Linked DNA regions of Elephas maximus indicus. The main gene of each other region encodes a partner of the protein of the gene in region 4 in a complex. Links are inferred from orthologs where the notes say so. Each region holds a gene or a part of one and is shown on either strand. Other genes may lie near its edges.

What was found.
Region 1: the proteins of GNA13 (region 4) and ADGRD1 are in contact, whole or in part, in a cryo-EM structure (PDB 9V0U), measured with the Homo sapiens proteins. The link is inferred for Elephas maximus indicus from reciprocal best matches to the Homo sapiens genes GNA13 and ADGRD1. Residues at the interface, in NP_006563.2 of Homo sapiens: Val49, Val216, Phe218, Phe359, Val362, Lys363, Asp364, Ile366, Leu367, His368, Asn370, Leu371, Gln373, Leu374, Met375; in NP_942122.2 of Homo sapiens: Asn599, Arg601, Leu657, Met660, Val661, Ile662, Val664, Phe665, Ser667, Val737, Ile738, Ile741, Ala761, Val764, Asn810.
Region 2: the proteins of GNA13 (region 4) and GPR4 are in contact, whole or in part, in a cryo-EM structure (PDB 9JHP), measured with the Homo sapiens proteins. The link is inferred for Elephas maximus indicus from reciprocal best matches to the Homo sapiens genes GNA13 and GPR4. Residues at the interface, in NP_006563.2 of Homo sapiens: Arg47, Pro341, Tyr343, Phe359, Lys363, Asp364, Ile366, Leu367, His368, Asn370, Leu371, Lys372, Gln373, Leu374, Met375, Leu376, Gln377; in NP_005273.1 of Homo sapiens: Gln45, Asn50, Arg115, Ala118, Val119, Ala120, Pro122, Leu123, Ala126, Ile204, Val208, Ser211, Val212, Ser213, Thr214, Glu218, Lys221, Ile222, Leu225, Asn290, Glu291, Gly292, Ala293.
Region 3: the proteins of GNA13 (region 4) and G-protein coupled receptor 35-like are in contact, whole or in part, in a cryo-EM structure (PDB 8H8J), measured with the Homo sapiens proteins. The link is inferred for Elephas maximus indicus from reciprocal best matches to the Homo sapiens genes GNA13 and GPR35. Residues at the interface, in NP_006563.2 of Homo sapiens: Lys46, Arg47, Leu48, Val49, Lys214, Asn215, Val216, Phe218, Arg331, Gln337, Gln338, Lys340, Pro341, Leu342, Tyr343, Phe359, Arg360, Asp361, Lys363, Asp364, Ile366, Leu367, His368, Asn370, Leu371, Lys372, Gln373, Leu374, Met375, Leu376; in NP_005292.2 of Homo sapiens: Phe45, Gln51, Thr53, Thr55, Met59, Asp113, Arg114, Ala117, Val118, Pro121, Leu122, Arg123, Arg125, Arg128, Ala197, Leu198, Arg201, Pro202, Thr204, Asp205, Gly207, Gln208, Ala211, Ala215, Met218, Val219, Ala280, Lys281, Glu282.

The regions. Positions count from the first base shown.
Region 1 is NC_064840.1:1,404,043-1,411,094, forward strand, and holds the start of ADGRD1 (adhesion G-protein coupled receptor D1), read right to left. Parts: upstream 3,006-7,052; 5' UTR 2,724-3,005; intron 2,468-2,723; 5' UTR 2,320-2,467; intron 1,928-2,319; 5' UTR 1,282-1,927; coding exon 1,225-1,281; intron 1,132-1,224; coding exon 1,095-1,131; intron 1-1,094. UniProt on the Homo sapiens protein: Adhesion G-protein coupled receptor (aGPCR) for androgen hormone 5alpha-dihydrotestosterone (5alpha-DHT), also named 17beta-hydroxy-5alpha-androstan-3-one, the most potent hormone among androgens. Also activated by methenolone drug.
Region 2 is NC_064829.1:104,041,331-104,048,843, reverse strand, and holds the start of GPR4 (G-protein coupled receptor 4), read right to left. Parts: upstream 3,007-7,513; 5' UTR 2,919-3,006; intron 1-2,918. UniProt on the Homo sapiens protein: Proton-sensing G-protein coupled receptor activated by extracellular pH, which is required to monitor pH changes and generate adaptive reactions. Activated by an optimal pH of 6.8-7.2.
Region 3 is NC_064824.1:142,573,855-142,581,738, reverse strand, and holds the start of G-protein coupled receptor 35-like, read right to left. Parts: upstream 3,009-7,884; 5' UTR 2,950-3,008; intron 1-2,949. Other genes in the region: CAPN10 (calpain-10), read right to left, coding at 6,919-7,209. UniProt on the Homo sapiens protein: G-protein coupled receptor that binds to several ligands including the tryptophan metabolite kynurenic acid (KYNA), lysophosphatidic acid (LPA) or 5-hydroxyindoleacetic acid (5-HIAA) with high affinity, leading to rapid and transient activation of numerous intracellular signaling pathways.
Region 4 is NC_064837.1:58,617,139-58,624,794, forward strand, and holds the start of GNA13 (guanine nucleotide-binding protein subunit alpha-13), read left to right. Parts: upstream 1-4,643; 5' UTR 4,644-4,870; coding exon 4,871-5,153; intron 5,154-7,515; coding exon 7,516-7,656. UniProt on the Homo sapiens protein: Guanine nucleotide-binding proteins (G proteins) are involved as modulators or transducers in various transmembrane signaling systems.

The DNA.
Region 1 (7,052 bases), on a different chromosome or scaffold from region 4:
ATGGGCCCCAAGGGGTAGGATTAGTGGTACACCCCCATGGGGCAAGGCCTCACTTTCATGCAAGTCCCAGGGTTGCCACCCCCCGCAGCACGCCTTCATCCTTCCTCCCAGCGCTTGGGGTGAGGGAAAGGGAGCATGTGGAAATTGACAGCATTCATACCTTTCTCAACAAGAGATTTAAGTTGCTCCTTGAAAATGTGGATACAGTGGGTAAACCAAGGCAGCAATCGTGAGAGAAAGTCCCCTAAAGCTGGAAGCTAAAGCTTCGGGTCCGACTACACCCTTCTTTCCTCACAGGGCCCTCATCTGCCATCCTATGGACATCCCCTCCTCAGGCCTGCTCTGTGGCCAGCACTGGTCCAGCACGCTGGTCAGAGCCCCCGACCCTGGCTGGCCATTAGAGGTGGGCCCCCTTTGGGTGGGCTGGGGGCACGAGCCTTGACAGGGGCCCCGATCCCTGCAGGCTGAGTCACGGCTGAACGGCAGGCCTGTCCGCGCCCAGTTCCCCACCACACACGTTCCCCCCGGGAAGCAGCTGGAGTTCACAGAGGCCTCCAGTGGGAGAAGCCACACCTGCAGGCAGAGCACCAGAGCGATCAAGGAGGACGCAAGCCCCCAGGCGGCTCGGTGGACACGCGGAGGATGCAGGCTGAGAGACAGAACACGTTCCACCCCGGGGAAACTACACTTCCTAATCACAAGGCTTCGATGACCCAGGGCAGGAAGCTGCTGGGGCCCCACGGACTGTGTCCCCCACAGCTCGGAGCAACCAGTTGCCGTCAAGTCAACCCCGACTCCTGGGGACCCCATCTGTGTCAGAGTAGGGCTGTGCCCCACGGGGTTTGCAATGGCCGTGACCCTTTAGAAGCAGATCTCCAGGGCTGTCTTCCAAGGCACCTCTGGGTGGACTTGAACCTCCAACCTTTCAGTTAGCAGCTGAGTATGTGAACCATTTGCAGCTCCCAGGGATTCCCAGCCCTCCTCAGAGGAGCCCGAAGAAGGTGCCGCATACTTGGGGTGAATGAGGGGCCGTTCCCGGACCTCCACGAAGACAGGAAGGGCGTGTATGAGCAGGGCAAGAGGGGAACTCTTACCTGGATGGTCTCGGGACCTGGCGTCGACTCCATGTACCTGCACACAGAACACCACATCGTCAGACACAGCTGGGGGACCTCCTGGCAGAAATCCAGCCCCATTTCAACAATGGCCACGTCAGGGACTTACCTGAGAAGTGGAATAAAACAGCAGCAACCAGGTGTAGAGTGGCCGTGGCCGCCACATGGTACCCAGAGGTTAGGATGGCCACGTGAGATTCCTGAGGTCTGGCTGTGATGACATGTCTTCACTAACACTCACGTCCTCGGCAAGGGGACATTTCCACAGGTTCCAAGACAGAGAAATAGAGAGAGACAGACAGAAAGTCCGTTTCTTTAAAGTTTGTGAGGACAGCTGTCTTGGCAAGCTGGTGGTGTTCCCCTCCTGGTCTCCAGGCTGAGACTGTGGGGTGGTCAGTGACACATCACAGAGACCAGAGCAGCAGGGATGCCGGTGGAGAAGCCTAGCTCCGAGTGCTGTCCTAGAAACGCATCCAAACAGTGACTGCAACTTGTGCCAGAGGGAGAAGGCGCTCAGACGGAGAGAGGGACGTCCAGAGCCTTCCTTCACTTCCAGAGTCCGCGTTTGTCCCGTGCAGGGCTGGAGCGGGCTCTGGCTTTCTCAGTGTGGGGACGAGCAGGCTGGGAAGCCCTTCTGCCCTGGCGCCCCGCCTGCTGGGGCTGGTCCACTCCCACCAACGCCTGGGTCTGGGTCCCGCCTGCACCGCCGCCCAGCTCTCTGGGTGGGAGAGGCCGGTGATGTAAGGCTGTCTTCAAATTTTGCTCTCTTCTCTTCTCTCCTTATCCCCGTTGCGGGGCAGTCTTCCCAGGCCCTAACACGAAGCGAGAACAACTGGTTCACAAGCAGACCAGAGAACGTTGCGTTTTTAACAGACGCCTGCGTAGCCCACACCCTCCCAGTCAGCACAAATATTAATAAATGCAGCATGTAAAATGCCCCATCAACTCTGTTAAGGTCTGATTCCTGTTTGCCAAGAGCAGGAATAGGTGATATCTGGACGGAGAAAGTTAAGTGACCACACCCACTCAGCGGACACATCAGCTGGCCACATTTTTCTCTTTAACCCTTTCAGCGTTAAATGAATGCTATATTTGAGTGGAGCTTCAAAACTAAGACAGACTAGGAAGAAAGGCCTGGCAATCTACTTCTGAAAATCTGCCAGTGAAAACCTCAGGGATCACAACAGACCATTGTCCAACTCACTTGCTTTGGACAGGTCATCAGGAGGGATCGACCTCTGGAGGAGGGCATCATGTTTGGTGGCATGGAGGGTCAGTGATGGTGAAGGAGACCCTTGGGGAGATGAATCAACACAATCGCTGCAGTCGTGAACTTGAACATGCCGGCAATCCTGAAGGTGACATAGTACATAGGATCACTGTGAGTCAGAGTGGTCGGTCTATCTGTCCCACGTCATCCCACCACACCTCATAACTCCACACTCTCCACAGCACCCAGGACAGCACTCCTCATGTGACAACAAAGAGAACTTAGCCAGCCTGTGCCTCAGTTTACCCGACTGCCAGTCTACTCCAAATACACGTGTACACACACACGCCAAGAAAAAAAAGATTATAATCACGGCTATCATTTGCCATGTGACTTACCTGATAGTAACCTCTCTTTGGAGCCCGGATGGCACAGCGGTTAGGAGCTCAGCTGCTAATCAAAAGGTCAGCAGTTCAAATCCACCAGCTGCTCCTTGGAAACCCATGGGGCAGTTCTATTCTGTCCTATAGAGTTGCTATGAGAAGGAATCGGCTCCGTGGCACCCAACAACAACAACCACCACCACCTGTCTCTAAGGAGCCATGGTGGCGCAGTGGTTAAGCACTCGGCTATTAATCGACAGGTCGACGATTTGAGCCCTCCAGTGGCTCCGTGGGAAAAAGACCTGCTCCCATAAAGTGATCTGCTCCCATAAAGATTACAGCTGAGAAAACCCTGTGGGGCAGTTCTACTCTGTCATGTGGGGTTGCCACGAATCGGAAGTGACTCTACCGCACCCAACCACCACCTCAGGCAGGTTCCTTAGTCTCTCTGTGTCTCAAACTCCTCAGCTGTGAAATGCAAGTCATGGTTCCTCTCCTGCCGGGTGGTAAGGAGAAGTCAGAGGACACATACAAGGCTCTGGGAGCAGCACCTAGAAAATACCCAGAACTCGATAAATGTTAGGTACTTTTCACAAAGAAAAAATATCACTCAGTAACTGTTAGCCGTGATCATGACTATGAAGCAGAAAAGAGCACTGGGTAAATGTTAGGTAGCATTACCAGCGCCATTGACCTGCCTTTAAATGGGAATAAAGAGTGCTGGATCCAACAGACTTCCTAACAAGGATAAGATGACTCCCTGCGTCCACAGAAGGGGAAACTGTGACGTGGAAGTGGGAGGGGATTATTCTGAACTAATGCTGCAAGCCCCCCAACTCCAGATTAGTGGTGACCCCCCTTCGATGGAGCCGGTCTCTGCCTCCTCACAGCAGGGACCTGTGAGCCCCAGGTGCTGCGGGAATTGCAACAGTGACCTTTCTTCTGTCACCTGGGCACGACCCACCTCGGGGGGGGGACCAACTGACGACTTCACCTCTACGTGCCACCACCCCACCCTCGGAGAGAAAACGGAAGACACAGGAGAAGGGACAGCCAGGCATAGACATCTCTCAGTCAGTTTTAGCTCAGGAAGAGCTAGACACATGCCTGAATATCTGCGCTGCGCCTGCCATTTCCAAGCCTGAACGAATCCTGAAATGTTCACCAAGTAATGAGCAACTCAATGGCAGTGATAAAAAAGGGTGCAAAGCCAGGTGACAGAAGCTGCCCTGCTAGTGTCTGTGAGATCCCAGAAACCAGTGGCCCTCGAGTTGGCTCCGACTTACGGAAACCCCACGTGTGTGAGAGTAGAAGTGTGCTCCACGGGGTCTTCAATGGACGATTTTCAGAAGTAGATCTCCAGGCCTTTCTTCCTGGTCTGTCTTAGTCTGGAAGCTCCACTGAAACCTGTTCAGCGTCACGGCAACACGCAAGCCGCCGCTGACAGACAGATGGTGGCTGTGCGTGAGGTCCATTGGGTGGGAATTGAACCCAGGTCTCCCACATAACCAAAACAAACCAAACCTATTGCTGTCAAGTCGATTCCAACTCATAGGGACCTTATAGGACAGCATAGAACTGCCCCATAGGGTTTCCAAGGAGCAGCTGGTGGATTCAAACTACCGAACTTTTGGTTAGCAGCCGAGCTCTTAATCACTGCGCCACCAGGGCTCCAGCGTCTTTTGAACGGAAGGCAGGAATTAGCACCACTGAATCACCACTGCCCCATCCTTAACTTACCAAAATCTGTTGCCGTCAAGTTGGTTCTGACTCATACCGACCCAATGGGACAGAGCAGAACTGCCCCATCGAGTGTCCAAGGAGCAGCTGGTGGACTTGAACTGTCAGACTTTTGGTTAGCAGCCATAGCTCTTAACGACGGTGCCACCAGGGCTCCGTCCTTAACTTAGGGGATGGAAAATCGTTACGCTTTCTTAAAATTATCCAGTTGTGTACTGAAGTGGAGGCTAATCAAATGCTAAAAGTGGGGCCTTCGTTCTGGTTAGGCTCTATTCTCTCCATTTTTACGGGATGACTCAAAGTATGAAACCGCTGAACCCAGGACATAGCTGGCTCATTCACGCAGTCGATGGCGTGTGCACAGTTGGTATGTTACCGCGTGCCCTGCAGCTCACACGTCCCGGGGGACAGGCTGGGACATAATGGAAGTTCTGCAGAGAAGCCCAAATGCTGAGGAGAGTTGGACCAGCTGCAAGGACAGTGAGTTCTTAACGCCTGATTCAAGTCCCTCCCCAACTGCACCTCCCTCGGCCACATACCCTTCAACGAGCCGTCACGTCTGCAAGCAGGAGCAAGCCCTGTGGGCACGCTGGCATATTGCTTCCACATAGGGCGACAACGTAACAGCAATGGTTCTCAGGCAGCCCGCTAACTTGCACAACGTGACAGCGGCCACGTCCTCATGCAGAAGTCCCCTCCCCGAAAGTGTGGGGGCTCAGTGTCCAGCCCCACTCTAAAGACTTAACCCAAAGAAATGAAAAGCCCACGTCCACCCAGAAACCTGCACGCAGACGTTCACGGCAGGTTCATGCACTGTCCCCAAATACTGGGAACAACCCGTTGTCCTTCACCTGGTGAGTGGACGAACCAACTGTGACATAACCTCAGAATGGAATGCCGCTCGGCTGGGAAAGGGACAAGCCACTGATACAGACGGCGCCATAAATCCCATATTCATTATCCCCGGTGAAAGAAGCCAAATTCAAGAGGCCACGCACCATGTGAGTCCACCTATGGACATCCTTGGAAAGACAAAGCTACAGAGACAGAAGACAGATGGGTGTGGTCAGGGGCTGGGGTGATGGAGTTGTTCACCGCAAAGGTGGCGAGGGAGGTTCTGGGGGTCAAGTCTGTTCTTCCCGTGGTGGTCACACGGCTGTGCGCCTTTGTCGAAGCTCAGAACTGGACAAAGAGAGAAGTTTCCTGTAAATGAATTATGCCTTGATAACCCTGCCAGAAAAATCCCATAGGCTAAGAACGGCAGAAGAAGCCCTGGTGGCACAACAGTTAAGCGCTCTACCGTTAACCCAAAGGTTGGCAACTTGAAGCCCCCCGGTGGCTATGCGGGAGAAAGACCCGGCAATGTGCTCCATAAAGATGACAGCACTGGGAACCCTATGGGGCAGCTCTACAGTTCTACGTGGGGTCACTGAGTTGGAATCAACTCCACGGCACACACACCACGGCACACAACAAAAATAAGAAGTATGGCAGAGCCAAAGGTTAGAAGGAGCTGGGTCCTTGGTGGAATCTCGCAGAGGCCATACCTGTCCCTCCACGTGGCGAGGCCAGCACAAGCTGGTTTGGGTTACGTGTACTTGAAAATAGTCTCCACCTGGCACAGTATGACACGCTGATGTGGACTCACCGTGACTGCTCATCAGAGATGGCCTTTCAGTCTAGAGCGACTTTTCTACTTTGCCTCTGGATTCATCCACTTCAGTGCTCATGGGCAGCTGCCGGCAGCCACCCTCCTCTTCATCCACCTGCGGCTGAGGAGCACGCAGCCCTGGATACTAACAGACGGGCTCTTCAGAGACAGCAAGGGCTAAATCATCGTCTGTCTTCTCCACCAGCTTCATCCCGTGAGCATTAAACAGCTTGTCTGCAAACATCCCTGTGCCCCCTTGGATGGGAAATCCACTGCGGGGAAAAAGACACCAGTGATTCTGCACCTTTTAGAAAATCATGCCGAACCACTGCAGAAAACAAGCCGTTCGTCAATACTCGCTCACCGTCTCGGTGAGTAACTGTGAGACCCCACAAAAACATCCAAGATAGAGTTGCCTTTCCAGGGGGTCATTCCAGGGAAAGCCTACACCAACAAGTATTCTAATTCTGAATCTCCTGCAGGTTCTACCAATGGAATTCAACAGAAATTCTTAGAAGAGAAATTTGAATTTCACCACAATTATCTCATTGGTTATTGGTCTGTAACTTAAACCATAACGGAAAACAAATTTATCACAATACGCTTCCCTAAAAACTACTCCTCCAAACTGTATCAAGCAGGGTGCTTTCTGTCGCGGAGTCCCTGGGTGGCACAAACGGCCAAGTGCTTAGCTCCTAACTGAAAGGTTGGCACTTTGAACCAGAAGTGTCTTGGAAGAAAGGCCTGGCAATCTGCTTCTGAAAAATCAGCCAATGAAAACCCTATGGAGCACAGTTCTCTCTGAAACACTGTTGCAAGTAACAGAAAACACAACTCAAAAGGACCTGAAATGCAAGGGGTAGGGGAGCATGTATTCACTCAAAAAGTGGCAAGCTGGGGGACAGATACCAAACCCATCGCCTCGAGTCAGTTCCGACTTACAGCAACTCCAT
Region 2 (7,513 bases), on a different chromosome or scaffold from region 4:
AGTCCCTGAAGCCACCAGGCCGATTCTGCCCCCCTTCCCCCCTCTCTGCAGGCTCCCGCTTCTCCCCTCCCCAGCAGCCCCAGGGGACCGGCCAGCTCCGGTCTGGGTCTGCTCATTAGGGACGAAATGTGATCACCAAGCCTGCCTCATTCCCCACCTGGTGCTCTGGCGGCCAGCTGGCAGAAACCAGGGGGCAGTAGGGCTGCCCCCAACTGCCCTGCTGGGCCTCAGTTTCCCCATTTCTACAGAGGGAGTCTCTGTTCTTTCTACAAGGCCGCACCACCCAGAAGGAAAGCTAGCTAGGGTCCTCCTTCTCCACGACCCCTCCGATGTTCTAGATTCTACTGTCCTAAAATCCTCAGGTTCTAATGTTGGTTCAGTTCGTGGTTTGACATCCTATTATTATAACGTTCTAGCGCTCTACCTTTCTTCCATTCTATTATTATTATCCTATGCGCTTACCCTTTTAAGTTTCCAATATTCTAGGAGTCTCACATTCCAGGATTTGAAAGTTCTATTGTTAGAACGCTCTATAATTTTTTTTTAACATTCTATGACTTTCATAATCTATTATTAAACCCTCAGTGATTATTAACTTTGCCCAGCAAACACCGGTACGTATTTCTCTTTTCTTTTTGACACAAATGGGAACACACTCTACGCATGGTGAACCTCACTTCTTTTTTCCCCCTTATCCTCTTCTGTTTTTTCACATTCCAGCAGCCTGAACTTCTAAGATGGCGCAGAGTTTTAAGATCCTAAGGATTCACAGAAGAAGCCTAGGTGGTGCAATGGCTTAGAGCTAGGCTGCTAACGGGAAGGTTGGAGGTTCAAACCCACCAGCTGCTCCACGGGAGAAAAGACCTGGTGATGTGCTCCTTTAAAGATTACAGCCTTGGAAACCCTATGGGACAGTTCTACTCTGTTCTATAGGGTCCCTATGAGTAGACACACAACAAGAACAACAAGGATTCACAGAGGGGGGCCCAGGGTCAGACCCCTCTACCTGGCCCCAAGTTCTCAATGCTTGGGAAGGGGCCACATTTGAAGCCCAGGCTGTCTCCCTACCCCTTCCGAGCAGGCTGGCCTCACCCCTCCCAGCTCACACCAGCTGAGTTATTATTTGTCTAGACACAAACCAAATTATAGGCCCTGTCCCGAGGGAGCAGTGGGCTTTGTGGGGAAGGTCAGGAGACAGAGGCCAGAGTTAACCCCTGGCCCCCGCCACCTCCCCTCCTCTCTTCCCTCCTTCCCTGGAACTCCCCGCCTTCTACCCAAACCAACTCTTGCCCCCTCTACCCTCCCCGCCCCACCATGTTTTGAGAACTATTTTCTCTTCTCTGCTTCTGAAACTCTCCCTTCTGGATCCCAGCCATTTCTACTCATTCTGGCATACTTCCTCACTGTGAAGACCTCCTTCGCCAAATTAATCCAACTCTGTGGAGGCAAAAGAAGCCAAATCACTGGATTTTGGGCTTCTGTGAATTGGAGTCCCAAGCCCCAGCCTGGCACAGACTCACAGCTGCGACCTTTGTTCTCCAAGCCTCAGTTTCCCCACCTGGAAAATGGAGGGTGTGGCCAAGACAGCTCCACAAGTCTTTTCTAAGCTGTTAACAAACACTGAAAACTGCCAAAATTCCAACCCTCAAAGCTTTTTGGATTGCAGGATTTGATTATCCCTAAGACTTTGATTTGAAGCTTGGTGTATTCCCAGTTCTTTTCTCTGCTCATTCTCACATCCCTCGGTTCTTCCATTCAAAGACATCACATTCAAGAGGTCTTGATTTTATGAGTCCCAGAGTTCAGGAGCTTCCCCACATCAGCCTGTCTCCTACTGGGGTTCCCTTCACAGAAAAGAAAGCCTCCCATCCCCATGCCAAACCTGAAGACAAGTTCACCCAGGGACAGGCTGGGAAGGGAGAAGCCCTTTTGATGGGTTCAGGAGGAGCAGGGCTGGTGGTGGGCCTGGGAGGGGGTGTTGGGGGGCATGACCCCCTCATCTCCATCAGTGTCAACAATGTACACGAGGACCAATGTATACACAATGGGCAAGGCCCCGTCCCCCCAAAACCACTGCTTCACAGAAATTCTAGAGCCGTACCTCAGCCTGGTTTGGGGGTGTGTCCAGTTCAAGAGGAGAGGGGCAAGGCAGGAAGGAGTTAACCAGTGACCCAGACAAATCCTGGAAGGGAGGAAGTGGCTGGTGACAGGGGGAGAGGAAGTCCACCCCCTAGCCCGGAATTCCTGAAATTGGAGGGTGGGGTGAGTGCGACTTGGGGAGCAGTGGGGTGGCTCTGTGAGGGGGGAGCTGGTGTTACAGTGCTGCTCAGAGTTCACCTGCCCCAAGTGGCCACCACCTTGCCCCCTACCTGGCCCATAAGCAGCCCCCCAGCTCGGAGGAAATTTCTGGGATGCAGAGGATTTGGAGGAAGACAAGGCTGAATGGAGGTGGAAGAAGAGAGTTTAAAATAGGAAGAGAGAAAGAGATGGAGAAATATAAAGAGAGAGAGGAAGGGTGAGGGCAGGGAGACACGGAGACAGAGCAGCGACATCCACAGAGGTTGAGAGTTGGAAACTGACAGAGGTAGAGAGGCTAACAGAGAGAGAGAAGAAATAGACAGATCCGGATGGCGAGGCAGAGATAACCCAGGCAGAGACGCGCAGAGATACAGAAGTAGAGACATACCCCGCGTCAGAGAGACCATGGGCAGAGACATCCGGAGACAGAGGCAGAGACACAGTCAGCCGCCAGGGACCCGAGGCACAGAGAGAGACTGGGAGGCCAGACCAGCGAGGATCGGGGACGCTGACGGCGCGGGAGACTGAGGCAGCTTCCGAGGGACGGCAGGAGGGGCTGCCGCAGACGGCCAGATGGCGGGGGCTGCGGCCGGACGGCCGACGGGCAGCCAAGTGCCTACCTGCGCGCGGCAGCTGGACGGGGCGGGCGGAGCGCCTCTCCCTGCTGCGAAGAGCTCTGGACCGGCGGCGCTGGGACCCGGCGGGCGCCCCCGCGGGGCAGGATGAGGGCGACTCCTCCAGGCCCTAGGGCTTTAGCCTCCAGCCCAGGCCCCGCCCCACCTGGACCCGCCCCCATTAACCCCTTCTTTGCCGCTCGCCCTCTGCCCCTTTCACTAAACGCTTCTTGTACTGGAAAATCCTCAACCCTTCAAAGTCCCTAGCCGGAACCCTCCCACCTCATTAACCGTTTTGCTCATCCTCACTCCAACCCCACACCTCCAACTTTATTAAGCCTTTGCTATGAGGGAAGCGGAGTCCTGGTGGCGCAGTGGTTAAGCTGTTAGCCATAAGATCAGCGGTTCGATTTCACGAGCCCTTCTTGGAAACCCTATGGGGCAGTTCTACTCTGTCTTATAGGGTCTCTATGAATTGGTATCCACTCCAGGGCAACGGGTTTGGTGTTTTGTTGTTTTTTTTTTTTTAGTTTTATGAGGGAGGAGTCCCTGGGTGGTACAAACGGTTAACGCGCTCCGCTAACCAAAAGGTTGGAGGTTTCTGTCCATCCGGAGGTGGCTCAGAAGAAAGGCCTGGCGAGCTTCTCCAAAAAAAATAACCATTGAAAACCCTATGGAGCACAGCTCTACTCTGACACAATAGGAGCCGACTGCGTGGCAACTTGTTATGGCGGAGAGGAGCGTCCCCAGTGACTCTCCTTGGGCTGAGCTACTTCCTCCCTTCGAAGGCTCCAGGCCTAAGTCATTCTGGTCGTTGCGTGCCCCCCTCCAGGGAAAAAACAAAGGAGTTTATTAAGCCCACACCCCCCACCATCATGGCCACCACTGCAAGTGGCCCTGAGGCTTCCAAGTCCATGGGCCCTGAAGCCCTGCCCCTTAACAGTGACTTCACCTCTCTGAACCTCAGTTTCCTCTTCTGTCAAATGGGGTCACTCATAGTCATTTCTCTCGGGGGTGTCATTTTACAGCATAAATGCTATCAAGTCTGTGAAACATGCCACCTGCCTCAACACTTCCCATTTCTTCTCCTGGCTTTACTTGTCTCCACAGTGCTTGCTGCCACCTAACATTCCTTACATCACACTTATTTTCTCTAATTATCCGCCTCCTTTTTTTTTTCACTAGAATGTGAGCTCTGCTTTTGCACGTGACTGGTTCACTGCTGTGTCTGTTTCCCAGAAGACTGCTTGGCGCACACACAAAAAAAAGTTGCAGTGGAGCCAACTCCAACTTATAGCAAGCCTATAGGCCAGAGTAGAACTGCCCCACAGGGTTTCCAAGGAGTGGCTGGTGGATTTGAGCTGCCGACCTTTTGGTTAGCAGCCAAGCTCTTAACCATTGCACCACCATGGCTTCACTTGGCACACAGTAGGTGTGAAATACACATAGTTTTCAAGGAGTGAGTAAATGAAAGGTAAGTGCTCCAAAAATAGTCACTTATTTTTCTGATTTATTACTATGGCCTTCATAAATTGATCACAAGAATTTATTATTGATGAAAGTACTTGGGAGAGACCCAGCATATAGCCCTCAAAAAATGACAGCTATTAGGAAGGCTTTGATTAAAGATCCTATAGAAGAATCCTGATCAAAAAGGCATGGGCAATGAGGAACACAATTTCAGGTTTTCATAGAATCCAGACTTTCTGGAGCCACTGAGGCTAGATGACTCCCTCCCTGCAAACTACTGTTCTGAGATAACCTTTAAACCTTAAACTGAAACTATCCCCTGAAGTCTTCTCTAATCAAAACAACAGCATGATTAGTAAAGAATGTCAGCCTTTACTGTGTTCTTTTAAATTATCTCTAAGTGATCAAACTGACAACAGCAACTAGAAAGGCTAGATGAGAAACTTAGCAGGGCAGTGAGTTTATACTAATGGTGGAATAATAAGTTGGAAAAGGACATCAAGAATGACTGCACAACTTGAAGAATGTAATCAAAATCACTCAACTGTACATGTAGAAACTGTTGAATTGGTGTAATGTTTTGCTGTGTATATTTTCTCCCCTCAAAAGAAAAAATTTCTTTTACATGATAGCTACTAGGTTCACAGATTCTTTTCTAGTAATTTTCTTTAAATAAAAGTAAAAATGCCTAGATCTTACGTGAACACTACAATGGGTTGTGACAAACATATACACCCGTATAACTGACATCCAAATCAAGGTATAGAACATTCCATCACCCCCAGAAAATTGTTTTGTGCCCCTTTCCAGGCAGTATTTACACTTCACAGGGGCAACTCTCTTCTTTCTTTTTTAATTGTAGTAAATATATATGTAACAAAATATCCGCTATTTCAACATTCTTCACGTGTACAATTCGGTGACATTAATTATGTTTATCATGTTACTCAGCATGACAATCACCCCTTTTTAATGTTTCCATCAACCTCAACAGAAGCTCAGCGGCTCCTAAGCAATGACTCTACCTATTCCCCTCCCTGCTGCCTGCCCCTGGTAACCATTAGTAAATTTTGGTCTTCTTCTTTCTCTTTTTACCAGAGATTAGTTTTTCCTATTCTACAACGTCGTATAAATGAAATCAAACTTTTTTTTTTAAGTACCTATTATTTTAATCATTTGCTGTGTGACCTTGGAGAAGTGACCTCCACTCTGAACCATATTACCTCCTTTCTCTCAAGACTCTTGAGGGAAACAGAGAGAGAAGAGAGTTAGCCAAGTGGCCTGAAACACAGGCAGAAATAAAGGCCTTTTCCTTCAACCCTTCTTCAAGGTGGGCAGTCAGGGACAGCTCCAACGGGAGGTCTCATCATGAGGACCTTAAATGCATTGCCTTTGAGTCAATTCCAACTCATGACCACCCATGTGTCACAGAGTAGAACTGTGCTCCATTGGGTTTTCTTGGCTGTACTTTTTACGAAAGCCTTTCTTCCACAGAGCCACTGGGTAGGTTTGAACCACCAACCTTTAGGTTAGCAGCCAATCACAAACTGTTTGCGCCACCAAGGCTCCAGCCATGAGGACTTTAACCACCCCCCGCCCCCTCAAATAACCCCGTATAAGTCCTAACAGCTTCAAGACAAGCCCCCTACACGTTCCTGTTGTCAGCCTATTGGAGTGGCATCACTAGGGGAGTCCAGGGGTGTGGAAGCAACTGGGTAACGCTCGCAGAGAGGGTGACACCAAAATGACTGTCCATAAATTTCTGTGCAGTGTCTCAGGAGAAATTTATTATTTTTTATAAAAATATCCCTGTAGTTAGTTATAACAATAAAAACATTTTTTGTAAGCCCAGCTTACATGTATCAATACACCCACAAGGCTAAAACTCTATGCTAATTTACTTTTTGAACCTTCCAATGTGCTCTGGTCAGGGCTGTCACTGTTACCCAGTTACAGCGAGGCTTCTGATCGTGTGGTGTCTGTTTCTGTTGCTGCCAGTGTTTTTAGCGTCACTGATTTTGTCAAACCTTCTGGTGTTCTACCTACAATAATGTGGTAATTAGCATGGGTGGGGGTGACACCACCCAGGTGATACCACCCTAATGATGATGCTACGGGCCCACTGGCCACCCCAAGCTCCTCCCAAAGAGAAATTTTGAGCACTCACTGGTGGACTCGGGTCCCCTTCTTTCCTGGGCTCACCCCATGTTTATTCTGGTACCAGTCAGGGTCCCAGCAGGAAAAAGTTGGAACCTGGGGCGCTTATGAAGCCACCGTTTGTAGGAGGATGGGCAGGGCAAAAGGAAACACAAAGTATGGATGTGGCGCCAGCGGACCCATTTACAGCCAGAACCAAGCCATTACCATCCCTAGGGCAGAAAGGACAGGCAAGGGAGTGTTGCTACCAGTCTCTGGAGAGGAGCCAGAAGGAGCTGCAGCTCTAGGTAGAGGAAAGAAAGCCAAAGCCAGAAGTGCAGGAATGCAGAAGAGGACTGGGAAATACATACCCCACGTCTCTTCCCCTACCCTCAGATTTCCTGCCCTGCCTCTAATTAGCAGACCCAGTCAGTTGGTGGCACGGTGGGTAAGTGCTACGGCTGTTAACCATAAGGTCCGCAGTTTGAATCTACCAGCCGCTCCTTGGAAATCCTAGGGGGCAGTTCTACTCTGTCCTGTAGGGTCGCTATGAACTGGAATTGACTCGACGGCAATGGGTTTAATCAGATGGCTGAAGGCAAGAAAAGCCGATGGGTGGAGTCTAACAGGTCAGCTTTCCAGGGCCCAGAGTAGGGGGAGAAAGGCTGAGAGTGACCCTGCAGGGTAAGCAGAGAATCGCGCGCACTTTTCCAGTACAAATTTCTAGGCACATTTTTCCATGCACGTCCGAGGCTGGGCACCAGGGGGCGACAGAGCACGGAGGGAGCCAATGAAACGGACTCTTCAGTAGTGCTGGGTCACTTCCCCAGATCTTTGACGTGGATAGGAGGTGTCAAAAGTGGAGGGGAGGAGAAGGGGCTTTGATCCCAGGGGCAGAAAACTGGCTTCTGAAACCTAGGGGTCTGAGAAGGTGATAAGATGGCTGGGCGGTGGTGGTTGAATAGGAGTTCCCCAGGATGAAGGGGTGGCTGCCG
Region 3 (7,884 bases), on a different chromosome or scaffold from region 4:
GGTCCTTCGTCCAGAGCTGACAGAGAAAGAAAGCCTTCCCCTGGAGCTGACGCCCTGAATTTGGACTTCTAGCCTACTAGAGTGTGAGAAAATAAATTTCTCTTTGTTAAAACCATCCGCTTGTGGTATTTCTGTTATAGCAGCACTAGATGACTAAGACACCAACCATATCAATAATTACATTAAAGGTAAGTGGTTTAAGCACCCCAATTAAAAGGCAAAGATTTTCAAGTTGCATTATAAATGCAAGAAGCAACAATATGCTGTCTAAATGTACACACTTTAGCTATAAAGATAAGACAAAAGTAAAAGAACGAAAACAGAAATTGAAACCACTAATCAGAAGAAAGCTGAATATGTATATTATTATTAAAGTAAACTTCAGGATAAGAAATATTTTAAGAGATAAATAGAAACATTTCATAATGATTAAAGAATCACGACATCAAAAATAGATAGCAGCTCTAAACGTGTTTGCAACTAGTTACAGAGATTCAAAATAAATGAAGCAAAACTGATAGAACTGGAAGGATAAATAGACAAAAGCACAATCATAATGGCATATTTCAACATGCCTCTCTCAGTAACAGAACAAATAAACCAAACATTATCAATGCTACACGGCAGACTTGAACAGCATCAGCCAACTTGTCCAAACTGGTATTTACAGAACGTCCCGCTCAACAACATCGGAATGCGCATTCTTTGCAACTGTACATACGAACGTTCCCCAAAATGGGCCGTGAAATCAGTGCTAACAAATTAAACGGATTTAAATCACACAGAGCTTGTTGTCGAAACACAGCAGAACTAAACTAGAAATCAGTATCGAAAGAGACACGATATCTAAAGAATGCCCATGTTCCAAATATTTGTGAATTAAAGAACAAGAACACACATAAAAATAACTCAGTGGACAAATAAGTAATCAAAGGAAAATTATAAAATATTTAGAAAAGAACAATAATGAGAACAAAACTTATCAATATTTGTGAGATAAAGCTAATGCAGTGCTTAGTGGAAGGTGCGTAGCTTTAAGTACTTACATTAGAAAAGAAGAAGGTCTAAAATCATTGATCTGAGATTCCATCTTAGGAATCTAGGGAAAAAATTAAACCCAAGTAAGTAGAAGAAAGAAAATAAGAAAGAGTGGAAACATAATATAATAGAAAAAACAAACAATAGAAAATCTACAAAATGAAAGTTGGTTCTCTGAAAACATCAATAAAATCGATCAACTCCTAGCTAGACTGATCAAGGGGAAAACACACACAAATTACTAATACAAGGAATAAAAGAGGAGACATCACTTCAGACCCTACAGACATTAGAAGAACAAGGAAACATTATCAATAACCATATGCAAATCCATCTGTCAATGTAGATGAAATGGACAAATTTCTTGAAAGTCACAACAAAAAGAAATAGCAAATTTGAATACCCTTGTGTTTATTAAAGTTGTTGAATTAATAATTTAAAACCTTTTCACCACGAAAACCCTTTTTCCAGATGATGGTACAGGTGAATTCTATCAAACATTAAAGGAAAAAATACTATCAATCTTAAACACTTCCAGAAAACAAAGAAAGAGGAACACTTCTCAACTTATTTTAAGAGGCAAGCTCAACCCCTCATTCCAAAACCGGAAAAAGATGTTACAAGAAAAGAAAACTACCGACCAATATCTGGCATGAACATAGACACAAAATCCTTAGTAAAATATTAGCAAATCAAATTCAGCAATATATAAAACAAACAACAGACTGCATACAAGTAGGACTTGCCCCAGGAACGTAAGGTTTATTTTAACATTCAATCAATGTAATTCATTGAATAGAAAAAAGGAGAATATTTACATAATCCTATTAACAGATGCAGAAAAATCATTTGACAAAACTCAATACCCATTTACGACAAGAAACTATCAGCAAGCTAGGAATAGAAGGAGACTTAATGGTGAAAGACCCAACATGTTCCCCAAATGCTAAGCAACAAGGAAAGGATGTCCACTTTCAAAATGGTATTGGAGCTCCTAGCCACTGAAAATAAGGCAAGAAGAAGAAAACATGCATTCAGATAGGAAATGAAGAAGTAAATCTCTCCATTGTTGACATAATTGTCTATGTGTAGAAAATCCTATGGGATTAAAAAAAAAAAAAAAAAACTACAAACTAATAAGTGAATTTGGCAAGATGATAAGACATAAGGTTAATATGCAAAAAAATTGTATATATTAGCAACAAACAATTAGAAAATGAAACTAAAAATACAATGCCATTTATAACAGCATAAAAAAATAGAGTATTTAGGAATAATTGCAAACATGTATACTCAAAACTACGGATTATTGCTGACAGAAGCTAAAGAAGACGTAAATCGGTGGAAAGGTATACCACGTCCATGGACTGGAAGAGTCAGTTCTCCTACTATCTGCTATATGATCAATCCAACCAAGCATCACTCATCAAGTTCTGCTGGGTTTGCCTCCCAAGCACAGGTCAACACTGACTTCCTCTCTTGGCCTCCACTCCCTCCTGCCTGGGACAGAACACACCATCTCTCCCCTGGGTGTCTGCAACGGCCTTCTTGTTCGTCCCCTACCCCCAATTCATCTTCAATACTTCAGCCAGAGAGATTTCAAAAATACATGTCAGGCCCAACTTCAAATCATGCCGTGGCTCCCGCTCCCCAAGAGGTAAGATGCAAACTCCTTGCACGGCCCTCAAGGTCCCTGTCTGCCTCTCCAGCCTCAGCCCTGGCCACGTGCTCTGACCCCTCCCCCACAGTGCAGACACAGAGCTTCTTCCCGCTCCTGAGGGTGAGGGGTGCCCAGGAACACCCTCCCAGCCCCTCCTCCGCACCTGGTTGATCCTAGCCTGGTCAAGGAACACCCCCACCACTACCACCATATGCAGAGCTGTCCCCTCAGGTCAAAATTCTCCAAAGTACCTGTGTTTGGGTGGTCCTCCCTAACAGACGGTGCGTGCCACAAGCACAGGGGCGCTGGGTGTCTCAGCCGCATCCCCAGCACCTGGCACTGGGACTGCCACCCCACATACGCTTTTGAATGTCTTCAGAATGGTAGGACGGTGGGGCTTGGGGTGGCGGGAAGTGATCTGTGGATCCTGGTTGGTCTTCTCAGTGGGGCTTGGAGGATGAAGGAGTCCACGGCAACTGGAACACAGAAGCACACACATGTGCTGCCACAGGTGCCATCGTCACACCTCCCCAACACACACAATGCCCCAGGAACCCACAGGGGACACAGGGCTAGCCCCTGACAGAGCAGCGTGACCCTACCTGGCTGGCCGCCTCTTACCCACTCTACTCTGTCCAGCCTCCTGCCCCAGGAAGTCCTGCCCAGCCAGGCCCCCTCCCTGGCCAGGCCCCCTCCCTGACACCTGCTTTCAGGGCACACGGGTCGGGATACTTACCCCAGCGTCTGTACCCCAAGGCCTGGAGGAGGAAGGGATGAGGGCAGTGAGAAGAGAACTGGGGACCAGGAAAGTGTTCCCAACCAGGAGGCACACACCCGTCATTCCTGGAGCAGGAAGTGACAGGTCAGAAAACCTAAACAGGCCGGTGTGGGGCAAAGTCTGTTGGGAGAGGCCAGAAGTGGTGTCTACAGCATACACCTAGACCTGCCAGGCTGGATCTGCCTGAGTCTCAGGCCACCTGAGGGCAGGGTGGTGGTCCTCACCCTCACAGCCTGTGCAGGTCCACATGTGGGCTGGGCTTTCCTGCTTTCACCCTGCCAGCAATACCAGGGGTGGGGGAAAGCCAGACTGATTGATCGATTGATGGACTGACTGATGTACAGAGAATGGAGGGCCCGAGGAGGCCCAGGACGAGCCGGCCCGCAGCTCGAGGGCACCCTCTGGAGGCTCCCTGGTGGCCTGGCAGCTGGTGGTTGGGGCGGGCAGTGGAGGAAGCCCATTTCCATGGCCTTCCCCTGGCCTCCCTGCCCACAAGCAGACCTGGAGAGAGAGCTCCTCAGGTCAGTGCAGAGGCCCCACGGCACAGACTGCTCGTGCCCCAGGCCTGCCCACCCCCTCCCCTCCCTGCAGCCCTCCAGGTACGCCCTAGTGCACCCACAAAGGGGTCAGGCCGAGGCTGCGGCCCTCACCAGGCTTTCAGCCTGAGCACCCACACGGTGACCATAGGTATAGCGCAGACGGACACCCCGCGTGGCCGAAGCATGGATAGCAAGTGCCCACTGGAGCCACCCAGGGAAGGGCAGGTGGGGTGGTCAGCACAGCCTCCGCCCTCCCTCCTCCATCTGTCACTGTGACCCCTCTGGGCAGCTGCCTCAGTCCCATGTGGGACTGGGACAGGCCACATCTGCTCTGAGTACCCAGCCCTGGCCAAGGCCTAAGGCCCTCATACTTCTCCCTGGGTGATCCCACCTGCTCCCCCACCCTAATATGCATCCATCTGCAGGGATGGTGGGGGAGCTCTTCAGAATCTGCTGGGGCCAAAGAGCATCAGGGCTGTTTTAGAGCTGGATCTATGACCGCCCGGCTGGCTGGCCAGGAGGGCCATGGCTGGGGCAGGGGAGACAGCTGGCCCATTCCCCAGGTGGGGGTGGGTGCTCTGTGGACCCAATGGATGCAGGGGTCCCCAGGGTGGGGTTTGAGATGCACAGACAAGAGGAACTCCAAAGGGGCATCCAGTGCTCTGTGGTCAGCGAGAACAGTAGGGGAGGCCTGCACTGCTTACAAGGAAGCTCTCTTCTCTTCATTTTACTTCCTCGGCCCATCTGAAGGGGCCCCCAGTCACCCTGTGTGGAGGGGCGGGGCAGTCAGAGATGGGGGGCTGAATCTTGGTGGGGGCACTTGGGCTGCAGGGTGGAGAAAGCAAAGACCACGCCAGAGCCTCAGCCCCAGCATCTGAACCGTGGCCAGTGCTGGCCTGCTGGGCTGAGAGCTGGGACCTGGATGGGGAGGGGGATGCTGGGCAGGGCCCCTGAAGACTTCACTCCCAGACTCCTGGGATGTTTCTGAGCCTGAAAGTGTATGGATGTGGCCCACTCCCCGCTGTAGACAGCACAGGGCCCTCAGGACCCCCCTCCTCTGTCTCTAACCATGACTGCACACTGCTGGGGTGTTTGCCCAGCTCTGCAGCAGGCTGCCCCGCACTGTGTCCTGAAGCTGCTGCCTTCCCAGGTGTTGGCCCCTTGGCAGACATGGCCACAGGCCCCACGCAGGACTCCCCTGCTCCCGGGGGCATGGACTGGCTGAGGGCTCTGGCCTGCTTCCAAGTGCCCTGAGGCCCTGGCTCCAATGGGCAGGCATGGCCACCCTGCCCAAGTCAGTGGAAGCCAGGGGCCAGGGAGAGTGGGCAGGAGTCTGTCCACAGGAAGGGCCTCCTCCAGGTCAGCTGGTGGGACTAATGATGAACTGGGGGGGGACCCTGATAGAGACACCCAGCGCCCTGCCCAGCGGGGGGCACACGTGGGCTGGGGGGGGCAGGCTGGGTCAGGAATCAGGCGGGTGGGGGCAGTGGTCACAGGCCAATGGGGACACCGATGTCAGGAGCCACATGGCAACCAGGGGTCAGCAGATGTACAGGTCTAAGGCCGTGCAGACCCTCCACCCAGCCCACCCCTGAAGAGCCTGGGGAGTAAGGGGCAACATTGAAGTGGGACTCTCAATGACCCCCCACCAGTGACCAGAGGGCACCCTTGGATCTTCTGGCCTCACTGTCCCCTCATGCCCCTGGGGAACCTCAGATGCCTGCTCTCAGAAGATGAGGCAGGGACTCCTGGGAAGGAAGGAAGGCTCCTGACCCACCCCCACCCCCACCCCATTCCACATTCCAGGGAATCTGGCCCGTGAGCCCAAGTCTAGGCAGACTCTGCCTCTCCCCTCCGCAGCTGCCAGCTCCCTACCCAAGGCTGTCCTCCTTTGTCCTGGAGCAGTCGCCCCCTCGTCCTGGCCCTCGCCTCTCACTCCAGGTCAGCTGGAGGAGGCCTCTACCCCGAACGCGCCCTGGACACCAGCTGCTGTGGCCCCCACCCCTCAAGAGCAGGTGCACGTCCGCTTCCGACCCTCTGTACCTCCACTCCCTCCTCCCCAATCCGCCTACCCCAGCTGTGCTCACCTCCCACTGAGACAGCATCCCCACCGGCTGTCCCTCCACAGCTGGCTTACAGACAGCTGACAACCCTGGAGCTGTTCTGAGACAAGAGCAACCTGTGAACTGCCCAGTGTCTACTTGTTTATTTACAAAATTACCTCTTAAAAATGCTTCCCCTGGTGGCGCAATGGTTAAAAGCCCGGTTGCTAACCAAAAGGTCGGCAGTTTGAATCCACCTTGGATTCCCTATGGGACAGTTCTACTCTGTCCTATAGGATCGTTATGAGTCGAAATCGACTCAATGGCAACAGGTTTTGGTTTAAACATTAAGACAAGGTTTGTTTCAAAATGCTCTTGTCTGGCGTAAGGCCTTTCTCCAGTCAACGAGACGGTCAGGGGGTTACAATGAAGCTCCTGTCTGGGCTCGGGGGCTCTGCGCTGAGGCTCTTGCCTCTCCCCCAGGCCCTGCTGAGCCCCAGGGCCTTCTGGGCAGCTGTGGAAGTTCCCTTTCCCCAGGCCCTGGGGCCCGTCACCGCTCTCCAGGGTGGCACATCCTTCACACCGTCAGGCACAGGCCCCGCAGTGCCGAGGCGGGGGCACTGTGCACAGGCGTTCTGGGCCTAGCAGAGGGTGGGTAGCAGCCCAGTCACTCGAGCAGACACACGGTCACCTCATTAGGTCTTCATCACAGCCGTGAAGGAGGCCTGTGGGAGGAGATGGTGAGGCCCCACACGGCCAGGCAGGGTGGCCAGTTTCCCGAACCCAGGCCCATACATACCTCCTGAAGGAACTGGCCCAGGCTCTCCTGACTCTGGAGGGACCGCCTGTGAGAGAGTCCCATCAGCCCGGGCCCAGGGAGCCGCTCTGCCAGAAGGGCGGGCTGGGGACTTTCTGAGATGCAGGTGGCCCCGTCTCCCACACCAGGGCCCACCTGTCTATCCTGGTCGCTATGGTGACAGTGAAGGCCGCCTCTGTGTCAGGCAGGTAGGTAGAGGGCACAACCCTGTAGGTGCCCGCAGGCAGACGGCACAGCTGGCTCACCTCCAGGGCGTGGCGGTGAGGCACACAGCTGGACAGTGGCTCCTGGCACAGCGGGGAGGGCTCGTCCTGGCTCTCACCGCCCCCTGGAACCTGGCACAGGGAGGGGCTCAGAGGTGGGGAGGCACACAACCCAGGGCTGACAGGTGCTCCATGACCCTGGGGGGTATAACGCTCCGCCTTCCCCAGCATCATAGCCCCTCCAGGGCTCTGGGGACTCACCAAACTCTGTGCCCCCACCACCTCTCTAAGCCACCCGCCTGGCAGGGCCCTGTTGGGACAGGCCTAGGGCGCAAGCTCAGTGAGTCCTGTCACTCTGAGACTGCACAGCCTGCCCGCCAAAGGGCGCAGGCTTTTTGCTCTCACAGAGAACCATCTGTCCTTCAGGGTCAGGGGTGGGGTCTGAGTCCCAGCTGATATGGCTCTGTGAGAGCAAAAATGACTATAGACAGTCGTATTGACAGGGGTGCGCACAAGGAGTACCTGAGCCGACCCCAAAAACCCCAATGAAATGGGGACTTCAAGTTGCTGCTGTCAAGTCGATTCTTTTGGCGACCCTACAGGACAGAGTAGAACTGCCCTAAACGGTTTCCAAGGAGCACCTGGTGGATTCGAATTGCTGATCTCTTAGCTAGCAGCCGTACCTCTTAAACACTATGCCACCAGGATGCCCAAACTGGGGCCTTAAAAAAAATGGCTTTTCTCATGTGTATGACCTGCTGCCAGCCTAGGCGACATGCCCACACCACTGAGTCCAGCCTCTGCATG
Region 4 (7,656 bases):
AAATTAAAATGTTACTAGTATCACTGCAATGTAAACTGACAGTGATGGCTAGAGTAGATTCGTTTCTCTGGCAAATAATTTAAATTGTTACTCTTGTTTTAAAAATAAACATAATGGCACTTTCATTCATTGAGTAATGCACACAGTGGGCATTTCAATGTTAAATGATGTTAGTGATTTTTTTTTTAATGGAAAATGTACTCCCTAACTCATTTTTCTCTACGTGGCAAAAGTCACATAACATAAAATTCACCATTTTAACCATTTTTAAAGTGTACAATTCAGTGGTATTTAGTATATTTATAATGTCGTGCAACCATCATCTCTATCTAGATCCAGAACACTTTCACACCTCAAAAGGAAAACCTGTACCTATTAAGTAAGGACCCCTGGTGGTGCAGTGGTTAAACATTCAGCTGCTAACTGAGAGGCCGTCAATTCGAACCCACCAGCTGATCTGTGGGAGAACGATGTGGCAGTCTGCTTCCATAAACACTACAGCCTTGGAAAGTGTACGGGGTAGTTCTACTCTGTTCTATAGGGTCACTAAGTCAGAATCAACTCAAGGACGGCTATAAACCTGCTGCTGTTGAGTCGATTCTGACTCATAGTGACCCTACAGGACGGAGTAGAATTGCCCCATAGGGTTTCCAAGGAGCGCCTGGTGGATTCAAACTGCTGACCTTCTGGTTAGCAGCTGTAGCTCTTTTTTTTTTTTTTTTTTTTTTTTTTGTGCTTTAAGTGAAAGTTTACAAATCAAGTCAGTCTCTCACACAAAAACTTATATACACCTTGCTACATACTCCCAATTGCTCTCCTCCTAATGAGACAGCCCGCTCCCTCCCTCTACTCTCTCTTTTTGTGTCCTTTCGTCAGCTTCTAACCTCCTCTACCCTCTCATCTCCCCTTCAGGCAGGAGATGCCAACATAGTCTCAAGTGTCCACCTGATCCAAGAAGCTCACTCCTCACCAGCATCCCTCTCCAACCCATTGCACAGTCCAATCCATGTCTGAAGAGTTGGCTTTGGGAATGATTCCTGCCCTGGGCCAACAGAAGGTCTGGGGGCCATGACCACTGGGGTCCTTCTAGTCTCAGTCAGACCATTAAGTCTGGTCTTTTTATGAGAATTTGGGGTCTGCATCCCACTGCTCTCATGCTCCCTCAGGGGTTCTCTGTTGTGTTCCCTGTCAGGGCAGTCATCAGTTGTAGCCAGGCACCATCTAGCTCTTCTGGTCTCAGGCTGATGTAGCGTCTGGTTTACGTGACCTTTTCTGTCTCTTGGGCTCATAATTACCTTGTGTTCTTGGTGTTCTTCGTTCTCCTTTGATCCAGGTGGGTTGAGACCGATTGATGCATCTTAGATGGCCGCTTGTTAGCGTTTAAGACCCCAGACGCCTCTCTCCAAGGTGGGATGCAGAATGTTTTCTTAATAGATTTTATTATGCCAATTGACTTAGATGTCCCCTGAAACCATGGTCCCCAAACCCCCACCCCTGCTACGCTGGCCTTCAAAGCATTCAGTTTATTCCGGAAACTTCTTTGCTTTTGGTTTAGTCCAGTTGTGCTGACCTCCCTTGTATTGTGTGTTGCCTTTCCCGTCACCTAAAGTAGTTCTTATCTACTATCTAATTAGTGAATACCCCCTCCCGCCCTCCCTCCCTCCCCCTTCTCGTAACCATCGAAGAATATTTTCTTCTCTGTTTAAACTATTTCTTGAGTTCTTATAATAGTGGTCTTATACAGTATTTGTCCTTTTGCAACTAATTTCACTCAGCATAATGCCTTCCAGGTTCCTTCGTGTTATGAAATGTTTCACAAATTCATCACTGTTCTTTATCGATGCGTAGTATTCCATTGTGTGAATATACCATAATTTATTTATCCAGTCATCCATTGATGGGCACCTTGGTTGCTTCCATTTTTTGCTATTGTAAATAGTGCTGCAATGAACATGGGTGTGCATATATCCGTTTGTGTAAAAGCTCTTATTTCTCTAGGATATATTCCAAGGAGTGAGATTGTTGGATCATATAGTAGTTCTATTTCTAGATTTTTAAGGAAGCACCAAATCGATTTCCAAAGTGGTTGTACCATTTTACATTCACACCAGCAGGCAGCCATAGCTCTTAACCACCACACCACCAGGGTTTCCAAGGAAGGCAATGGGTGTACCTCTTAAGCAGTCACTTCCCATCTCCCCTCCTCCCCTCTCCACCCCCTGGCAACCACTAGCCCCCCTTCATTCTCTGTGGATTTTCCTATTCTGGATGTTTCATGTAAGTGGGATCATTCAATATGTGGCCCGTTGTGCCTGGTTTCTTTCACTTAGCATAAGTCTTCAAGGTTCATCTATATTGTAGCATGTGTCAGTACTTCATCCCTTTTTATAGCCAAATAATATTCCATCATACGTCCCTGGGTGACGAAACAGTTAAACAATTAACTACTTGCGAGACCAAAGGTTGGCGGCTGGAACCCACCCAGAGGTGCCTTGGAAGACAGACTTGACAATCTGCTTTTTGAAAGGTCACAACCTTGAAAACTCAATAGAGTGGTGTTCTCCTCTGCATACATGGGGTCACTAGGAGTCAGAGTTGAATTGATGGCAACTAACAACAACAACAACATGTATATTACCACATTTTGTTTATTAGTTCATGAGAATTTGATCGTTTCCAGCTTTTGGTAATAGTGCTGCTACATACATTCATGTACAAGTTTTTGTTTGAATGCCTGCTTTCAATCCTTTGGGGTATACCTATAGGTAGAATTGCTAGATCATATGGTAATCTTGTGTTTAACTTTTTAAGGTACCAATAAACCCCTAGTTCATTTTTATTTTCACAATTACAAGGAGTCTTGATCACTGGACAGTTAGAGGCTGTTGGACAGCTGCAGCTGAGCCTCAGGCTGGGCTCAAAAAGGTCTTTTTTCCAGAACCACTGCTTAGTGCAACCCGGCTCCATTAGAGCCAGGCTTGTTCCAAGGCAAGGCTACAGGTAGGGCTTTGAACAGCTTTCTCTGCTGCTCTGCATGTTGGAACATGAACTGGCTGGGCAGGAATACCCTCCTGCCTTCTAGGCATCCTTGGTTCTCCATTATATAGCACATACTTTTGGAAGGAAAAAAAAAAGATGCCAGCTACCTAACATAGACTTCCCTCCTCCTGTCTTTGCAGCAGAGCTCAGATTAGCACCTGGAGTCCCCATACGATCCATGCTTGGGACAGATGCTATACCCTGCACTGGGCAGAAATTAATCTTTCATGGACTTGCTGAGACTAGAAAGTGATCCTTCACTCAGGGTACAGTTTTACCATTCATGTCGCCTGACAGCACTACCCAGTATTCCGACCCTATCAACCCACAGATACAGGAGTGAGCCCATCCTACTTTGTATATTGTAGATTGTCCACCCCTGGGCTTGGCTGGGCAAAGGAGACAACCCTACTACAGGCATTGTTCACTGCAAACTTTCTGAGTCATGAGGCTGTTCAGTCATTAATCCAACCCGTAACAGTCACTGATTAGCAGTGATTTTTAAATTTGACTGCTTAGGAGCTTCTCCAAGTCCTGACCCCTTGCCCCAATTCCCTGACACACAGGAAGTTTCCACACTACAGGAGCCCACACCAAGGAGCATTAGGTTGCACTGCCCCCAAACAGGCAGATTAAACCGGCTTTTTCCACTTGAAACTGAACACTAAGAATGAAAACGTCGGTTGGGTCCTTGCTACCCGAGTCTCCCTGCCAACCCCGTTGTCACTTGTCAGGCTTGTCTTCCGGGCAGCCCTTTCAGGTGTCCTGCTCTGAATCTGCTGGTAGGGCAGAAAAGTCCCTTGGCTGGTCATATCCTCTGTAATCCCGCGGGAAACCTAAAATGTGCCTGCTCTCGTCCTCGGTGAGTTTGCTTTTCGCTTCCTTGTAGGGAAGAGCCTGCATCACAGTGTCCGGTTTGGGGGATTTTCACCATGACCTCACCCTCTGCCGCTACCATCCCGATTGTAGCGCTGCACAGCATTACGCAGCTCGGGCAGGGATCCACGTTAGGGAGCTGTTAACAGACCCTCCTAGCACATCTCAGATTAATATCAACTCCAGTTCTTTCTCCCCAAAGGGGGATACTTGCAGGGGTCTGAGAATGCCACCAAGAGCTGGAAGGAAGGACGGACGATCTTGACTTAGCATCAAGGGTGCCACCGTAAGAAAATGCACCAAAAACCTTTCAGACTGGCGCCCGTTGTTTGAATCACTTTTGACCCAATGGCTTCGAAATAAGGCGAGGGAACGCTGACAGCAGGCGGCGGCCATGAAACTCGGGAGAAAGGGCGGCCTTTCTCGGGAGAGAGGGAGCCCAAAGGGCAGCGTCTGGGACTCGGCAGCCGGCTCCACGGAGCAGGCCTTAATTAAAAAGAAACAGAAAGTCGCGCTCCGCAGGCGTCCGCCGCGCCCACTGCGTCCCGCCAGGCCCGAGACCACGTGACCGCGGCTCCCGGCCTCCTGGCGCGGGCCCGGCGGCGGCCGCGGACACACCAGCCAGCGAGCGACCGCGTGATTCGCCGGCCCGGGCCCGCCACGAGACTGGGGCTGCGGAGGCCGTGCGCGCGCGCCCCCGGGAGGCGGCAGGCGCGCGCACGCTGCCGGGGCCACCGCCCCTCCCGGGCCCGCCTCCTTCCCTCCCTCCCCGGCTCTCCCGGCCCGCCCTGGCCGGCTCGCCCTGCGAGTCAGTTCGCTCGTTCCCTCCCTCCCCGGGCGCGCTCGGGCCGCCGCAGCGCTCCCCGCCCTTGAGCCGCGGAGCCCGAGCCGCCCGCCGCCCGCGGAGGAGGTGGAGGGAGCCGGAGGGGCCCGCCGAGGCGGCGGCGGCGGCAAGATGGCGGACTTCCTGCCGTCGCGGTCCGTGCTGTCCGTGTGCTTCCCCGGCTGCGTGCTGACGAGCGGCGAGGCCGAGCAGCAGCGCAAGTCCAAGGAGATCGACAAATGCCTGTCCCGGGAGAAGACCTACGTGAAGCGGCTGGTGAAGATCCTGCTGCTGGGCGCGGGCGAGAGCGGCAAGTCCACCTTCCTGAAGCAGATGCGGATCATCCACGGGCAGGACTTCGACCAGCGCGCGCGCGAGGAGTTCCGCCCCACCATCTACAGCAACGTGATCAAAGGTGCTGGGCTCGGCCGGGGGCGAAGGAAGGGCCGGCTCGGCAGGGGCCGGGGGCCCGAGGCCGGGCACCGCCCTCGCGCACTCCGTGCCTCGCGCACGAGCTGGGCGGGCGGCAAGGGGGCGCGCCCCGGGCCCTGGCCCTGCCAGTCCCCGGGCGCCCTCTCCGTCGGCTCAGGGAATGCTCGGTGGGCGCCCAGCTTTCTCCTTGCTGCCCCCTTGGGGGTCACGGCCAGCCCCCACCCCCACCCCATTTCCAGCTCTGGCTCCTCCGAGAGGGAAGTTAGGAGAGCCGGGTGCCTCGGGGTGCGGGTCACCTGGCCTGTGTTCCTCCTTCCAGACGAGGCTGGAAAACCCGAGAGCCGACCCCAGACCCTGCCCCTTTCTCCCCTGCCCCAGAGCTGTCGGCCGAACCTCGCTGCCCCGGGTGGGTGACCCGAGTTGCATGGTTTCCTTGACCGCCTCCTGAGCAAGGGAGTTCTGGAACCGTCGGCAATGAGGAAACTTTTGCCAGAGACTTGTCAAGGGCGAAGGGTGACAGCTTTTGGGACTCTTTTGGGAAAGGATGTGAAACTTGAGGGTGTCGTTTTCACTTTGCTGGCACCAGGAAAGAGGAGACCCATACAGTAACTCTGAAAAATTAGCATCAGTGGTTTTTCACCTCATTGTCACGGTCAGGCAGGATGTTTGCCTGTAGTCTGTGTGCAATATGTTCTGCTCTCCTTTTTGCTAAATAAGGGGTAGGGGATATGGGGGTGTACTGCTTCAGTGCAATTGTGTAATAATATGAAGAATTTTTGGTCTAAAGGTGATGTGAGTCCCGCACAGGTTGAGTCAGTGAGTTAGCATGGGATGGGGTTGGATCATAGACTCCGCTTCTGTTTGACAGTATTTTTTTTTTAATTAATTAAAATGGTAAACGTTGTTCTTAAGTGAGAAGTACACAGGATTTTTATTTCTGAACTTTCAAAGAATTAGAGACGATGGTTTTTATTTTGTGATTGGAATGATAATTAGCATTCCTTTCTGTTAGTTTCCAATATTTTTAGCTTAAAATACTTCAGATGCATCAGGATTCTCTATTTTGTCTGGGTAGCAATTATCTGGTAGTTTGCTACCGATTTCATATCTTGTCAAGCAGTGTTTTTTTCCGTGGGATTTTTGTTCAGGAAGTGCTTAAGAAAGTCTTTCATGTCACTTTTTTTTTTTTTTCCTTTCTCTCCCAGGGTTTGGTAGAGGAAAACTGCTCCAGAGAGGGAGGCAGTGTGGGTTAGGAGCCAGAGAAAAAGCTCAGCCTGGGGTTTACAGACCACAGTGAGCCCTTAGCCCTGGTACCCCTCCAGTTAAGCTGTGAAAAGCAGTTGTATTTACTCTGCCTTAATGGTCAGCAGGAAACCTAATTAAGGTCTCTTTCAAGGCCACTGCCTCTGCCTTGCCAGCCCTTAATTGAAGGTACCTTTGTATCTTGCTGCAGCCGAATTTAAGGAATTATGTTAATGAATAGATTCAACATTTTAACTGATTATGGGCCAGGTAAACAACTGGTTCTTAATGTACACTGCGTCGGAAATGAGACCCGTTTTGAGTATTGATAATGAGATGAGGTCATTAGACATTAGTTTTTTTGTAGGTGTTGGCTTGTTGCAAAAATTGACAGCGGAATAGTTTTTTCAGTTATCCAAATGACCTAAAGGTGTGCGATTGTTAAGACCCTAACAGTTTAGTAATAGAAATACTGGATTTGAACTAACCTCTGAGTTGAAATGCCTGGTTTTGTATCTTTTTGCTGTTGGTCTTCCTACCTTTTAGGGAAATCTAAGGCCATCCTGTAACTTAGATTGATTCGAAGCTTGGTCTAGGAGAAGTTTTTGAGTTTTTAAGGTGTTCCTAGAAGACTCAGGGTTGGGGTTAGGCAGGGTGCCTAGGGGACAAGCAATGCAGAATGGTAACGCCTAGTTCTTGGCATTTGGTAGATGAATGCCTTTTGGACGGACTCCTTTCCTTCAGAGCCTGGACATCAGGCTGTGCAGCATAGTTTCTTTTTCCTTCAGTGGTTTTGGCTGTCTTGTGACCACTTTTTACCCCGGAAGTTATTTTATAAATTAGTACATTTTAAAATCCTTCAGAAGGAGCAAGTGTGTTATCAGTATTTGCTCTCCAAGGTTCTCATTTTAGGAGTGTGAGCAAGAGTTTTTAAAATCTGAGAAGTTAAGGGTGGATGTTTAATGTTGGTCTTCATTTTTGGAGGAGGTGGGCCTGGAGTAGTTAAGAGGTCTAAGAAAGAAATTCTGGTGTTTTCTAAGGAGTAAAACATATAAGAATGTTTAATGACTCCTCCCCATACTTTTTTTTTTTTTTAAACAAAGGCATGAGGGTGCTGGTAGATGCTCGAGAGAAGCTTCACATTCCTTGGGGAGATAATACAAACCAATTCAATGGAGAGAAGATGATGGCATTTGACACACGGTCACCCATGGCGGCCCAGGGAATGGTGGAAACCAGGGTGT